Linked DNA regions of Diceros bicornis minor. The protein of the gene in region 2 binds, or shares a complex with, the protein of the main gene of each other region. Links are inferred from orthologs where the notes say so. Each region holds a gene or a part of one and is shown on either strand. Other genes may lie near its edges. The genes, in order: LY96 and TLR4.

Region 1 (8,090 bases), on a different chromosome or scaffold from region 2:
CAGCAAGTCCTGTCGGCTTCATCTTCAGAATACTTCCAGAATCTGCCCCCTTCTCTTCACCTCCTTCACTACCACTCTGGTCCAAGTCACCATTCTCTCTCTCACCTGGATTATTGCAACAGCTTTGCTTCCACCCTTGTTCCCTTACAGGTTATTATCAACACAGGAGCCAGACCAAGCTTTGCTAAGAGTAAAAGATAAGTCGTCCCCTGACCTACAAGGCCCTCACCTCCTCACCATTTCCTTCTGTTACCTCATCTTCTACTGCTTTCCCTCTCACTTACTCCTTCATAGCCACAGTGGCCTCCTTGCTACCCTTCCAACACACCAGACACGTTCCCACCCCAGGGTCTTTGCACTTGCTCTTTCCTCCACCCCTTCCCCTAGACATCAGCATGGCTCACTCCCTCCACTATTCTAGGTGCTTGCTAAATGTCACCTTCTCAGTGATGCCTTCCTTGGTCATCCTAATTTATAATGCAACCCCTTTCCCAATCTCTGCCCTCTCTCTCCCCTCCCCTGCTTTATTTTTCTCTCTCACCAATTACCACCATCTGACATGCTGAATATTTTACTGATGGAAACTCCATGAGGGCAGGTACTTTTGTCTCTGTTGCTCACTGCTATATAATACGCTCAGTGTCTAGAACAGGAACATGCCAGATGGTCAGTGAATCCTGGTTTAATTATAATCCATTAATTCCTTGGGTTTCTGGACTATTTGTAGCAAAAAAAAAAAAAAGGTTAGAACTGAATCTGACCACTCTAGGTTACAGGAGGGTGTGTGTCTAGAGCTCACACACCCACATTTTCCGCCTTTTCCAAAGTTAGGCAATAAAACAGCCAATTCTTGCCATTTCTGTATGTTATGGGCTGAATTGCATCCCCACTAAATTTACATGTTGATGTGCTAACCCGCAGTCCCTCAGAATGTGATTGTATTTGGAGACAGAGCTTTTAAAGAGGAGATTAAGTTAAAGAGAGGCCAGTCAGGTGGGCCCTGATCCAATATGATTGGTGTCCTTAGAAGAAGGGGAGATTTAGACACACAGAGAGTCCCGAGGGATGAGCACACACTGAGAAAAGGCCATATGAAGACACAGCAAGAAAGCAGCCATCTGCAAGCCCAGGAGAGAGGCCTCAGAGGGAAACCTAACCTGCTGACCCTGGATCTTGGACTTCCAGCCTCCAGAGCTATGAGAAATAAGTTTCTGTTGCTTAAGCCCCCCAGTCTGCGGTGTTTTGTTACGGCAGCCCATGTGATACACTGTACATGCCCAGTAGCATGGCCAAATGGAAATCATCCTCCCAGAAATGATTGAATCAGGGCTTGTTGTTGTCACCAACATCCTCACAATATACTTGGAGGGACCAGTGCTTCCCACACAGCATGCATTTTCTGCTCAGCCAGGATGCGTGCTCTAAGGTGGGGAAGGGAGGGACATGGCAGTGGGGATGGTGGCTAGCAGAGTCTTGGTGGAGCTGTGTATTCTGCCTCCTCCCCACAGTTCCTGCATCTATCCGTGGGGTGGCAGGAAAGGACCCCATTTCTCAGCATTAGAGAGAAACAGGTAAGATCCTCTCTCAAAAATCAAATCAAAAGACAAATCGAATTATTGTTCCTAAAAGATTAAAAGCAAAGTAATAACATGAAGTGTTATATAAATAAAGGCCATACGGCACATAGTACAGAGAAGGGGGCATAATCAATATGTGGTACACAGGGGCCAAAGCAGAGGAGAGAAGTAGGGGCCACAGGTGCAGAGCCTTCCGGAAGGGGGGAAGGTACACTGATCTTGCAGGGTGCAGAAACTTCAGAGAGAAGTTGAGGGGGAAGTCAGCACAAGCCACAAATAGGAAAAAAGCCACAAGTGTGAGATTGGTCACACCCCAAAGTCTTGTTCTCACACTCTGCAATTACTTTAATTCCCCGAAAGATACTTTATATCAGCATTTTCCTGAGAGTGTTTCTCAGGACAGTCAACACACTCAAAAAATAAAGTAAAATAAAATTGAAAATCTAGGGATTAAATAGGTTTCTTTATTGCAGAATTTTTCAAAATTCAAAATACATTTGTAAATCTTCCTCAAATGGTTAGACCATAGATGCTTTTTCCCAAGAGACTCTCAAAGACCTAGCATTTTGGGAAGCACCCCTTTAAACCGTACTGATGTTGCTAGTGGGTAGAAAAGGGCAGCCAATCCATGGTGAGCAACGCAGTGGGAAGTACCAAACCAAAACAGAGATCAAACCCTGAAACCATGCTTTCAGACCAGCAGACGTTTGTAGAGAAAGAAAAAAAACAAAACACAGTGATACAACCAGCTAATAACATTAGGAATGGCTGATTTAAAAAAAGCAATCAAAATTATTGTTTCCATGTGACTCCTCACATAGAAAACTTGACCTCACAGCAATCCTTGTAAAATGGGCTCTAAAATCACTTTCATTTTACAGATAAAAGAGCTGGGATGCAGAGAGGCTAAGTACTTTGCTCCAGGTCACACAGCTAGTAACTGACAGAACCAGGCTTACATCTAATGAGGGAGGTGATTCCAGGAGCTCTCGAAATTCACAGCCTGAAACAATTACAGAGAACCTGTCACAGGCCCGGCACTGTGCTGAAAAAAGAACCACAGTGTGGAGCAATAATCGATTCCAGGAAGCAGCTAGCACTGTTCTGTCTTCTCAAGAAGAACCAGTAAGTCTTGGGGCTGAGGCAAAATCTCAGAAGCAGACATTTCTGCCGAAACTGGGAAGAACCTGAAACCGAGCTCAAAGTAGAGACAACTGACCACAGGGAAAAGCAGAAGCATTTGGAAGTCAAGTACAGCACAGTTGAGAGACTCGTGAGGTCTGTGAAGGGTCGAGAAAACCCGCACAGGGCGGGAACCAGCCATCATTTTTGCTGCCAGCAGCAACTGGAACACTCAGTCATTTCCTGTGTCCCAGCGACAACAGAATAAGGTTCTTGTGAAAACTCACCCTTGAAATAGCCGACGCTACAACTACTGTCTGTGGCCATTGTACTTACCACAGTAGCTGTACCAGATACTTGAATCAGAGGAGTTGCAGATCCAGTGTAGCTTCTCAGGTTCAGTAAATACAGAAGAAAACAGAGAGAAAAACAGCATAAATGAGAACATGATTCGATCTCTCCAAAACTTTAAAAATGCAAGGAGAATCAATAACTAATCATCACTCTTCCCTTTCAGTATGTAGAAGAAATTTAACTTAGTCATCAGTCACATGATTTCTGAGTTCCTATCCAACTGTTTCCTCTTTTGTGTGTGTGTGTGTGTGTGTGTGTACGCGTGTGTGTGTGTGTGTGTTTAATATGTGAGCACTTCCTGCAAGGGGAGAGAGGAAAATGATTTAGAACATACTCTTCAAACACTTGATGCAAATGAGGGTGACCAGAGCTTTACAAACAAAACAAGATACTTCCCAGCCAATAGAAAGTATCCTTTAGAATTCCAAAAGACTGGCACTCCTTTTCCACCTGCATTGCTATTCTCTCCCATGAGCTCGTTACACAACACTTTCTCATGGCCGGGAGACCTGGACCTATAGATCTGAACTGACCAGTCTTATGCAAACTGTTTCCACTCAGCAGCAGGGTCAACCACGGGGCAGAGCCGGGATATGGGACACTAGCTGTGGTTCTGCTTTGTGAGCAGGGGTCCCACCAGGCTTGAAAATGCACTTACCTGAGCAAACTACAGCTCCAAGGATTATCTTGAGCCCTAATAATGAAATGATCATTATTTCGTGTGTGGCGTGTATTTCATTTCAAAATTCTCGGTCCGTTTTAGAAAAACAGCTAATCTTTTAGATGCTGTGTACTTGAAATCCTTTATAAGATATAGTTTGGGATTAGTAGCCAAAAATGGTGTGGAGTCAGGACCTAAAAATCTACACGTTTAGAGGAAAATAATCATATGTTGGTAAAAAGTTTTCACTAAAGAACTGTGCTACTGTCCCATTTTTAAAAAGGCAAAAACCCATGGGGGGACAGGGAAATGGGGAGTTGCTGTTCAACGGGTATTGAGTTTCAGGTTTGCAAGATGAAAAAGTTCCAGAGATCTGTTGTACCTCAATGTAAATATAATTAACACTACTGAACTGTACATTTAAAATTGGTTAAGATGGTAAATTTATGTTTTTGACAATTTAAAAATATACGTTACAAGTGAAAAAAAAAAAAAAGGAGGAAAAACCCATGAACGCCCTTAGGGGTCTCAAAATACAATTTCCTAATCAAAGGAACCAAGACTCTTTGGAGAAATTGTTAATTCCAGGTCTGGGGCAAAAAATGTACAAGATGAACCCAGAACATCTTCTCATATTAGATAACCAATTTGAAGGTGGTTCCACTGATCAAAGACAGCGTTGTTAGTTTCCTATTGCTGCTGTAACAAATAAACACAAACTTGTGGCTTAAAACAATACAAATACATTCTCTCACAGTTCTGGAGGTCACAAGTCCAAAATCATTTTCACTGGGCTAAAGTCAAGATGTCAGCAGAGCTGGATCCTTTTAGAGATCTGGGAGAAGAATCTGTTTCCTTGCCTTTTTCAGCTTCAAGAGCTGCAATCCTTGCCTGCCTCCCATCTTCAAAGTGCAGCACTACCACCTCTGCTTCCAACATCACATTAACATCTCCTCTGGCCTCCTGCCTCCCTCTTATAAGGATCCCTGTGATTACACTGGAATCATTTGGATAATCCAGGATAATCTCCCTAATTCAAGATCCATCTAAAAAATCTCTTTTACTGTATAATGTAACATTCACAGCTTTTGGTGATTAGGACATAAACATCTTGCAGGGCCATTATTCAGCCTACCTGTAGATTATACGAACTTCAATAAGATAGTAACTGCAATGAATTGAAACACATCAAATATATTTAAATCCATGAGCTCATAATAATTTTTTTAAGTCTAATTAACCATCAGTTGATGCTGGGAAATCAATTCTATTTTGAAGATTGGTAAATAAAGGGAAAGAATCAAGCATTTATCCTGACATTTCTATAAAAACGGAACAATCGGTAACCAAATAATAGAGAGGGGCAAGTTTCCCTTGCCATCTCTTACTCTTTTCTCTACTTTGAGATATATTTTAGCTAATATACGAAAAAGGAATAGTAGTGTATAACCATTTTGCAACATCTAATGAATTAGTGGACTTAGGCATTGAGCATCACAAAGGGAGAGACAGAAAGGCATTGTGTACCTCTTGATGGATGAACACTGTGGCAGCCAGCCTCCAAGATAGTTCCCAATGATCCTTACTTCCTGGTACGCAACTTCCTGTGTAGTCCCCTCCAACACTGAATAAGGCTAACTGTGTAACTAATAAAATATTGCACAATGACAATGTGTGACTTCTAAGGTAGATCATAAAAGACATGTGGCTTCCACCTTGCTCTCCTGGATCAGTTGCTCTGGGGGAAGCAAGTAGCCCTGAGGAGAGATCCATGTGGTCAAAAACTGAGGCCTCATGCCAAAAAGCCAGCACCAATTTGTCAGCCGTGTGAGTGAGCCGTCTTAGAAGCAGTGCTTCCTGGCCTGGTCCAGCCTTCAGATGATAGCAGCACCAGCTAATATCTGGACTGCAACCTCATGAGAGAACCTGAGCCAGAACCGCTCAGCTAAGCCACTCCCGAATTCCTGACCAATACACTGTGCAATATTACAGGTGTTTGTTGTTTTAAGCCTCTAAGTTTGAGGGGCAATTTGTTATGCAATGATAGATAATCAATACAAACATCATCTATGACTTAGTCTTGTCCAGAATAATCAAACCTCAATCTGATGAAGCCTCAAGTCCAATTTGTAGAAAATACACAAGACAGAGAAACATGTTAAACTATGCCTTGGGGATACAATCAGACAATCCAGACCATGAAAAGATATCAAGACAACTCAGTTTCTTCAACAGATAATTTGCAGGGGAAGAAAAGAATTGTGAAAGAAATGGAGGGGCCCATAGATTAGAAGAGTCTTAAAAGACATTTCAACAGTTTGTGAATATGGTATGAATTTTACTTGGCTCTTAATCCAAACAAAATGTGGAGAAAAAAGTTATGAAACGATTGGAAATTTGAAGATTGGATATTTGATAACATTGAGGGGGGCAGTTTAGGTATTATAATGGTATTATAGTTACATTTTTTAAGTCGTTATTTTGTAGTGTTACAAAATTAATTACTTAAGAAATGTTATGACATCTGGGATTTGCTTCCAAATAAAAGGAGAGGGTAAGTGGTTAGGGTCTAGAGGAAACAATATTGATCACAAATTGGTAATTGTTGAATCTGGATGATAGTCATGTTGGTTCACTCTCCTACTTTTGAATGTTTGAAATTCTCAGTGAAAAGAAAAACAACAACAAAAGTACAAAGTATTCTGAAAAAATAAGAATACAATTTTAACAAATGTGTCCAAGCTAAGGCTATTATTCATACCTAACCGCCATTTTGTTACTTTTGCTTCTAAAAGCTGAAGTCTTTCAGTATAATGAAATCTCCACTGAGAAAAAGGATTACAGTACAGTACAATTAATTGTCAAAGGGTATATTATCTGATGTCACCTAGATGTTAGCCGGGCACCCTGCCTTTTGAGACTCAAAAAAACCTGACTCAATGCCTTTCTCATAGAAAGTGGGATGACTCTGCCTGGGGTGACGGTGGTGAAGTGTCATGGAGAGATGTGCGAATACTTCTCCTCATCTCGGACTGGTGTTTCCGCTATTTCAGTAATGAATCATCGTGTTATCCTATGCATGCTGATCCTTGTCTACATCTTAGTCTCACTCCAGACCACGCCCTTTAGAAATCCTCTCTCTCAGTCTTTTAAGCCTTTTTTTTTTCCTAAACAACCAAGCTGTCTTCTGAAAAGTTATTCTGATACTAATAAAAATGGGTTTTTCACACCAGTACATAGGTGAGAAAATGGCTACACGGATACAGGACCTTCAAAAAAAAAAGATATCCTGGACTCAAAACAAGTTACGAGGAAATCGACCCTTTGGAAACTTCAAAATGTTAACGACGCCGTTTTTTTCTAGGAGTGATTTCTTCTTGTTTCTACTTTCTATTTGATAACGAGCATTTGATCATGGAATAATTTTCAGAGAAAGATATAAATCACATTAACTGCTAGGATAGCAACAGGTATGTATCTAGGTGACACAAGACAGAGGAGCAGGCGGGCAGAGGCCCAACCTAAGGAGAGAGATGGTACTACCTGTTCATCTTCCCGAGACCCAGAGCCCACCCACTGCTAGGATCACAAGCTGGCTGCTCCCAGGAGAGGGCAGGCTCTGGGTCACAGGAAGATGAACACTTTCCTCACTCAAGCTGTCTCCTATCGACTTCTAGCAGCTTCAGACTTGAACCATCTTTCCCTAGGAACTAGTGATGCCCCTGCTGCTTCCCATCAACCTGCCTCATACACAGGCAAGCCGTACAGATTAGAGTTACCATCTTGGCAGGCAACAGGACACGTTAGGCAGCTCCAAACAGAGTGGGTGTCGTTTTTTGGGGGGTTTTTGCTGAGGAAGATTAGCCCTGAGCTAACAGCTGTGCCAATCTTTCCTCTATTTTGTATACAGGTCACCACCGCAGCATGGTATGATGAGTGACGTAGGTCCGCACCCGGGATCTGAACCCATGAACCCCGGCCCGCCACAGTGGAGCACACAAACTCAACCACTACACCATGGGGCCAGCCCGGTGTTTTGTTCTTAACTGTGCCTCTGGCACACTCCAGGCACTTAGTATCTCCTGATCTAAATAGCATGATGTGTGGCCTTAGCTTCTGGCTGAAAATCCTTCACAAGAACCAACTTTCATTTTACAATTAGAGGTAAACACCTTAAACTATCAACACTCGATAAAGTTAAGAGATTGCTATTTTATAAAAGGTACTGTCCATCTTTTTAGTACAAATGATTTTCCTACTCTGATAGGGTGCACTAAGGGAGGAGAGCACACATGGAATGACAAATGAGACCACTCAAGACAACACTACTTATGGGCTGGTCTGGTGGCATAGTGGTTAAGTTCAGCATGCTCTGC
Region 2 (7,548 bases):
GTATATTGTTTATTTCCCTCACTAGATTGTAAGCTTTGATAGTCTTGCTCTCTGCTATGCCTCCAGCACTCAGGATGGTGCCTGGCAAATGGTTAATGCTTAGTAAATATTTGGTGAATAAATGAATGAATAACTGATGGAATGGAAGTTTGTTGAAATCCAAATGGTAGGCATTTTCTGCTAAGTGCTGCAGGCAGTACAAAGACCAACGTGATGTGGCTCCTGACATCAATGATCTCACAATCTAGATAGAGGAAGGGTTCAGAGAGGAGCACAACTCACATCACTAAAAAGGACCATATTGGAAACGCTCGGAAAATATTTCCTTTGGTTCAGAAAAGGTAGATATCAATTCCGGATCCAGGGATCGCAGAAGGCTTCTGAGAAAGAGAAGTTTTCGAAGTGGGTCTTGAAGGATGAGTAAGATTTGGATACATGGAAAGAGGAAGAAGGAGAGAACAGTGTAAGGAGGGGTGAAAAACTAGTTCAGATCAGCTGGCACATGGTGAGAGTGGTGAAACCAAAGCCAGAGGGGAAGCCAGAGCCAGGCCAGGAGGGCCTCGTACTTTGTCCTGTGGCAATACTTTTAATCATTTAACACATATAAATTGATCAATTTCTATGTGCGAGGCACTGGGATATAGTGATAAACAAAACCAGTAATGATCTCTCTCTCTCATAGATTCCGTTTCAAAGGGAAAGACAAACAATAAACAAAAAATATATAATGGCGTGCTATTAAAAAATAAAGCAACACGAGATTAGAGGCAAATATGTGGGTGGGGAGTTCTATATGAGGTGATCAAGAAAGACCTCCTGGAGGTGGTGACATTTAAGCAGAAATATGAATAAAGTGAGGGATTAAGCCATGAAAATATCTAGGCCTGCACTGTCCAATAGGGTAGCCACTAGCCACACACAGCTATTGAGCATGAGAAATGTGAATAGTCTAAACTGAGACATATGGTAAATGTAAAACATGTACTAAATCTCCAAGACTTAGTACCAAAGAAAGAATGTAAAATATCTTATTAATACTTTAGTATATATTACATCTTGAAAAATATTTTGAATATACTGGGTTAAATAAAAATATTATTAAAATTAAATTCACCTGTTTCTTTTTATTTATTTATTTTTTATTTTTTATTTTTTTGCTGAGGAAGATTTGCCCTGAGCTAACATCTGTTGAAAATCTTCCTCTATTTTGCATGTGGGCCACCACCACAGCATGGCCACTGACCAGTGGTATAGGTCTGCGCCCAGGAACTGAACCCGGACTGCCGAAGTGGAGTGTGCCAAAACTAACCACTAGGCAACCGGGGCTGACCCTCTTTTCATTCTTTTAATGTGGCTACTAGAAGATTTAAAAGTATGTTTTATACTTAGTTAGTTAAAATTTAGTTAATTTAGTTAAATAAGAATTTAGTTAAATTTGTTATTTAAATAATATCATGTGACCCACATGATATTACCATTGGGCAGCAATGATCTAGGGGAAAAGCATTCTAGCTAGAGGAAATAGCCAGTGCAAAGGCCCTGAGGTAACAAACAGTTCTAATAGCAATGGAGAGTTAGCATAAGCTTTTAAGGAGGGCAGTTTGTTAGAACCGAATCTCAGGAAAAACAACAAATAAACAACAAACAAAAATGTGCAGAGTGAATTAAAGGAAGCAGGCTATGGAGTCAGGAGACCAGTCACTATCCAAGAGTCAAGGCCAAGGGAACTGAGGACCTGCCCTTGGTGGCACTGAGGTTGGACAGGTTTTGGAGACTGAGAGAATAGGGAACGTGGGGAAAGGGAGGATCCAAGAGTGGAGATGACCTTGATTGGAGGATCTATCCCCATTAACCTAGCAGCAGGAGGCACACAGAGAGGAGGACGAGAAGTGGGGAACTGGGAGCATACACGACTTGGAGATAACAAATGTGTCTTTGGTACATATTAAGGTGCACTATTCCCCCATGTCCTCAATTTTAGGACTCTGGCTGGTTATGCTTTTCTTGTTTCTGACCCTGCCACAGCCTAAATCCCAGGGCATTGTTTTGGCTGTTTGGTTCTATCATGGGCTTCAAAGCAACTGTGAAGTCCACGCAGGGGAAAAACAAGAGATCCATCACGAATGAGATCATTAGCTGGCTGGTGTTTCACAAAGAAAGAAACCACTGGATTAGCTGATATTTTACATCTTTCCCTCTCTCTCTTTTTTCTTCTCTCTTTATCTCTCTCTGTGTCTCTTTCTCTGTTTCTCTCTCTTTTTCTTTTCCAATCTCTTTTCTTTTCATCCTTTGGACAGAACTATGACTAGATTCAGAAGTCTGAAATCCACTTTGAAAGTTCTTTCTATTAAGAAACAGAAAACCATCTTCTTCCTGACATTGAAAGGGGCAAAGTGACTGCTCGAAGCTGAGTGTACAAACCACCAGTGGGAAGGGAGGACAGGAAGGCACCTTCTTAGAACTCTCTATTGAATGAGGTATCATTACAATTATTTTATAGATGTGAAAATTAGTCTCAGAGAGGTTTAATAACTTCTTCAAGGTCACACAGCCCAGAAGGTGAAGAACAGTGATTTTAAGCAGGTGTATCTGACGTAAAGCCCCTATTAGCACTTAAAGTCCTAAATGGAACACGACCCCATGGCTGCCTGTTAGTGTCTGGTAACCACGAATTATTTGGTGCCTGTGGCTTCTCAAGTCTTTCAGGTAATTTGACTCCTTTTAGCAAATGAAACTAAGTAGAGCCCACAGTGGGAAGTTCTGGGCAGAGAGCAGTATTTCAGAAGCAAGGCAAAGCTCACAGCAGATGAGCTGACGCCACCACATACCTGCACACAAGGGTCCCAGGTCTCAGGTCTCAGGCAGGAGAGGAAGGCCATGGCTGGGATCAGAGTCCCAGCCAGGCGGGTGGGCGGCATCATCCTGGCATTTTCTGCGACCAAAAGTGGCCCTGTGAAAGCATGACGCACCAGGGCAGCCTCCGAGGCACTGCTGTCTTCTCTCCCCTGCTCGGTTCCCCACGGCAATGACTGTATTCAAAGCAGTGCTAGCTTAAGGGGCCAGAGGAAGTGAGAGTGGCAACCTTAGCATTCTGGACTTTTGTTTCTCTAATATTTATCTGCTCTGTCACAGGAGGGGAAGTTAGAAGAAGAAGAAGAAAACGTTTGCAGACCAGTGGCTGGAGTAACAGCGAGAGGAAGCTGGCTTTTATCCCAGGAAGTCATCTGACCTCCGGGTTAGTGAACTCAGGAAAAAAAAATCAGACCAGTCAAACAGCCTGTGTAACTATCTAGGATGGTGCCTTTCCAATTTTGTTTTAGCAGTGGAAACTTACTGTCTGTGTTAGTTTCCTGGGGTTGCCATAACAAAATACCACAGACTGGATGGCTTAAACAACAGAAATTTATTTCCTCACAGTTCTGGAGCCTAGAAGTCTGAAATCAAGGTGTTAGCAGGGTCGATTTCTTCTCAGGCTCTCTCGTTGGCTTTAGATGGCCGTCTTCTCCCTCTGCCTTTGCATGCTCTTGCCTCTGGGTGTGTCTGTGTCCTAATCTCCTCTTCTTATTAGGACACCAGTCAGATTGGATTAGGGCTCACCCATGTGAATTCATTTTTCCTTAATTACCTGTTTGAAGACCCTACTCCCAATACAGTCACATTCTGAGATACAGGGGTTAGGACTTTAACGCATGAACTTTGGGAGGACATGATTCAGCCCACAGCGCTGTGCAATCTTGTAAAATCTTGTGAAGAAACTCACATTTATGAAACTGAAAATAAAGCCCCAGTGAAACACAGTTTGAAAAGTACAAGAATATTGGGAAAAGATTGGGATGAAGAATCAAATATACTGAAATTCAAATCCAGGCTGGGTAATTTATGGCCATGTGACATGGTCAAGTCACTGAAACTACTGAGCCTTAATTTCTGGTCTGTAAAATGGGATAATAGTTTTTAATTACAACAAAGGCTTGCATTTATAAAATTTATAAAAATAAAGCCATGTGACAGTTGCCAAATGATACAAGTTGCTAAGCCTTCATTCTTGGTCTTTAAAAAGGAGACAATCACATTTGTCTTGCATGATTGAATTTACGTAAAATGCTTAGTCTAGCGCATGCTTCATCAGTATATTCCGTAAATCGGTAGGTATTATGATGACTAAATAAAATAATAAAATGGGGCTCACAATATGAACCTCAAAGTATTGTCATGAGATTAAATAAGCTGGCATTTGTAAAGCTTTTAGGACAGTATCTGGGATGTAGCAAGTGCAGTGTAAGTTTCTGTTAAATAAGAACATAGATTAAAATAGGGATATTACTGGCATTGTGTCCTAGATAGTTAGATAGTTCTACCAAGATGTCCTGCGGACACCTCAAATCCAGCATATCTAAAATCAAGCAGTGAGGGAGCATAGGAGACTGAGCACAAACTCTTGCAGACTTCTTGAACACAGCTGTAAAATTAAACTAAAAATAGTCTGCCTGTCCAAACTTTGCTTTGATGATGAATTGCAACTATGTAAACGTCTTAGGGCAGCACCTGGAACAGAGTAGGTGCTCAGTAAATTTTAGTTCCCTGGAAAGTTAACAGCGTTTCACTTCCACATAGTCATCCAAGATGGAAATCTCTTTGACTTCTGCATTTTCCTCATCGAATGGGTGTTAACTGTATTCTCTTATTTCCTGTTTTCTCATTGCTCTGGCTTGGGGCCTTGCTGACTGGGGATAGACTGCCCCTCCCAGGGCTAGCCATTTCTTAGAGATAGCAAATGATTTGCCCTAGAGCACACCTTTCATATGCAAACTAACCAGTCAAAAGCTCCTACCCTGAACCACCTCCTGTATCTGGCTTTTATATTCTAGGAGGCAATCTTTCCCTGCCCTAATCATCACAGGGCCAGGTACCAGACAACTAGAGAAAGTCCTTGTACCCCAGAGCCTGCAGAAATTATTCAAACTAGCCTATCTTAAGCCTGCTTACCCTTTCTTTCCTTGCCTTTCCCACAGAAACCACATTAATGGCTCCTGCCCTTGCCCCTTCTGCCTCCTGACAGACCCTGCACTCCTTCCCCATGTGGCCCTGCACGGTGTGGCGTGCCCCCTCCTCTTGGGAAATGTGAGCAACAAACCATATTTTCAATGCCAGTCATCTCCTGATCTGTTGGTCTCATCACACCTGAATAATAAGACCTTCATTTTAAAACAAAACATTCTACCAAATCCTAGAGATTTTACCTATAAAATAATTCTCAAATGTCTTTCTTCATTTCTATTAGTGTTACCATTAAACATATCCCTTGGCGAGGTTAGTGCACTGCATTGTTGATGGGGTTCAGGGCAGGCCGCCCCAAGATCTGCCACTCTGGTATGCGGATTATTTCAAGCTGAAGACAATAAAGGCTCAGAAGAATCATGAAGGATATTTGACCTTCCCCCAAACTGCCTAAAAGAATTTAAGATAAGAGGCCTGTCCCCAGGACAGGACAACACCATAGATAACTCTGGGTATGGATAGACTGGGAGGGTCCTTGCTAAGCCCATTCTTATCAAAGTTCTGTTTACCAAACATTTACATCTGTAAGGGAAATCTCCATTTGTAAAGGTATCTCCCCCTCTGTACTGAGAAGAGGAGGGTGATGACCTCATCTCTAGAAACTTATCAATGCAAAAGGCGAGGCCTTAAATCTGTGTAATAACCTTACTCTTGTTTACTGTGCTTTTCTGGTAATCTCCCATAGCTGACTACCCCCACTCCCAACATCCTCCTTTGTTTTTATCTGAATCTATTTAAGAGAACCTCTGCCATTTTGTTGAGTTACCCAGTGGGTCTCTCCCTTATATACATGTTATAAAGCTTTGTTTGATTTTCTCCTGCTATTTGGTCTCATGTCAATTTTATTTGTAGCCCAGCCTGAAAGAACTCAGAGTGGGCAGAGGTGAGTCTTCCTCCCTTTCACTGTTAACGGGTCTCCCAGTGTCTAGACTCATCTCTTCTAATGTCTCAACTCTTCTAATCCATCCTTTATCCTGAAATCAAAGCAATCTTCCTAAACTGTGAATAGAATTACCTCATGCCATGTTAATAATATTCTGGGGCTTGTATTGCCACTGTGCGCACACACACACACATACATACACACACACACACACACAGTCCATCGCCTAAGAAAGAGAAATAAACGTGTGTGCTGTTTCAGGCCAGACATAACTAGACTCCATTAATAGGACACAGCACATAGGTGAATAGAGTAATACAAATATGTAATGGTGCAAATACTCTTTCTTCCCATCACTGGAAAGAAAAACCCTTTGATGGTCAAGATGAGGCCTAAAAGAAAGGGTTCAGGGGGCCGGCCTGGTGGCATGGTGGTTAAGTTCATGCACTCCGCTTTGGCGGTCTGGGATTCACAGATTAGGATCCTGGGCATGGATGGACACGCCACTTATCAAGCCATGGTGGCATCCCGTTTACAAAATAGAGGAAGATGGGCACAGATGTTAACTCAAGGCTAATCTTCCTCACCAAACCAAAAAAAAAAAAAAAAAGAAAGAAAGGGTTTAAAACGATCTCCTGGACTATGTTTCTTAAGATGTTAATACATGTGTTTTATAGAAGTTTTCCTGGAAAATTTTCCAATCTATGACTGGAGAATTCCTGAGAGTGCCTTGTAAAGATGCTTCCTTTTCATGGGATTAACACACTATTATCTAGTAACCTTATCAAAGATATCTCAGTTCTGTGTACTTCTTCTAGAAGATAGGCCATATGTATCAATTACAAAAGATAAATGTTAAGCCTTCAGTTATCAAATCTTATTTGTTTTTGTTGATGGACCTACCATTGCCATGTTACAATGAGGTAAGACAGTGGTGATGAGTTACCATCCTGGGCCCATGGTTTCCACTGAAGTGTAGTAATAATTACGCCTTAGGCACACAGTAGTAGAGACTGGGCCAGGGGCATAGGAAGTGACTTAGTTTTCCACTCCATGTGGAGCAAGTTCAACTCCGGACCTATAATCATTGAGTCAATGGAGGACTCTCATCTTCACCAGAGTTCCTGCAGAAATGTCTCATTTGATTTGGCAGGTACCGCATATTCAGTAAGAAATATAGGAAGGACAAAACTGACCTGTGTTAAGTTAGGCCAATTGCGGTATCAACCTCCAAATTTCAGTGACAACACAGTAAAAGTTTATTTCTTGCTCATGAAATGCTTAGTGAGGATATTCCTAAGTGGAAGTACTTCAAGACTGATTCAAGGATCCAGGCTGCTTGTATTTCATTACGGTCCCGTATTCAATATGCAGCTTCTAAGTTTGCCACAGAATCTGAAAAGAACATGGGGAAGATGCACTGATACTTAACTACTTCTATTCAGAAGTAACATGTATCATCTCTGCTCTCACTCCATTGGCCAGAGCTAGTCTCAAGACCACACCCAATTGCAAGGACCCTCTATCTCTTAAGCTTCAAGCCTCCTACCCTGACCCAAAATTCACATACACCCACACAAACACACACACGCAGGTCACCGATGAGT

The links.
Region 1: the proteins of TLR4 (region 2) and LY96 are in contact, whole or in part, in a crystal structure (PDB 4G8A), measured with the Homo sapiens proteins. The link is inferred for Diceros bicornis minor from reciprocal best matches to the Homo sapiens genes TLR4 and LY96. Residues at the interface, in NP_612564.1 of Homo sapiens: Gln39, Met41, Glu42, Asp60, Ser62, Phe63, Asp84, Ser86, Arg87, Thr110, Gly111, Val132, Val134, Glu135, Asn156, His159, Ser183, Ser184, Asp209, Leu212, Arg234, Val259, Glu262, Phe263, Arg264, Asn265, Glu266, Arg289, Ala291, Tyr292; in NP_056179.4 of Homo sapiens: Met40, Tyr42, Ile66, Pro67, Arg68, Arg96, Ser98, Asp99, Asp100, Asp101, Tyr102, Ser103, Phe104, Arg106, Leu108, Lys109, Gly110, Glu111, Thr112, Thr115, Thr116, Ile117.

Annotation. Positions count from the first base shown.
Region 1 is NC_080772.1:25,417,188-25,425,277, reverse strand, and holds the start of LY96 (lymphocyte antigen 96), read right to left. Parts: upstream 3,261-8,090; 5' UTR 3,148-3,260; coding exon 3,036-3,147; intron 1-3,035. UniProt on the Homo sapiens protein: Binds bacterial lipopolysaccharide (LPS). Cooperates with TLR4 in the innate immune response to bacterial lipopolysaccharide (LPS), and with TLR2 in the response to cell wall components from Gram-positive and Gram-negative bacteria.
Region 2 is NC_080767.1:25,339,024-25,346,571, reverse strand, and holds the start of TLR4 (toll-like receptor 4), read right to left. Parts: upstream 3,142-7,548; 5' UTR 2,922-3,141; coding exon 2,829-2,921; intron 1-2,828.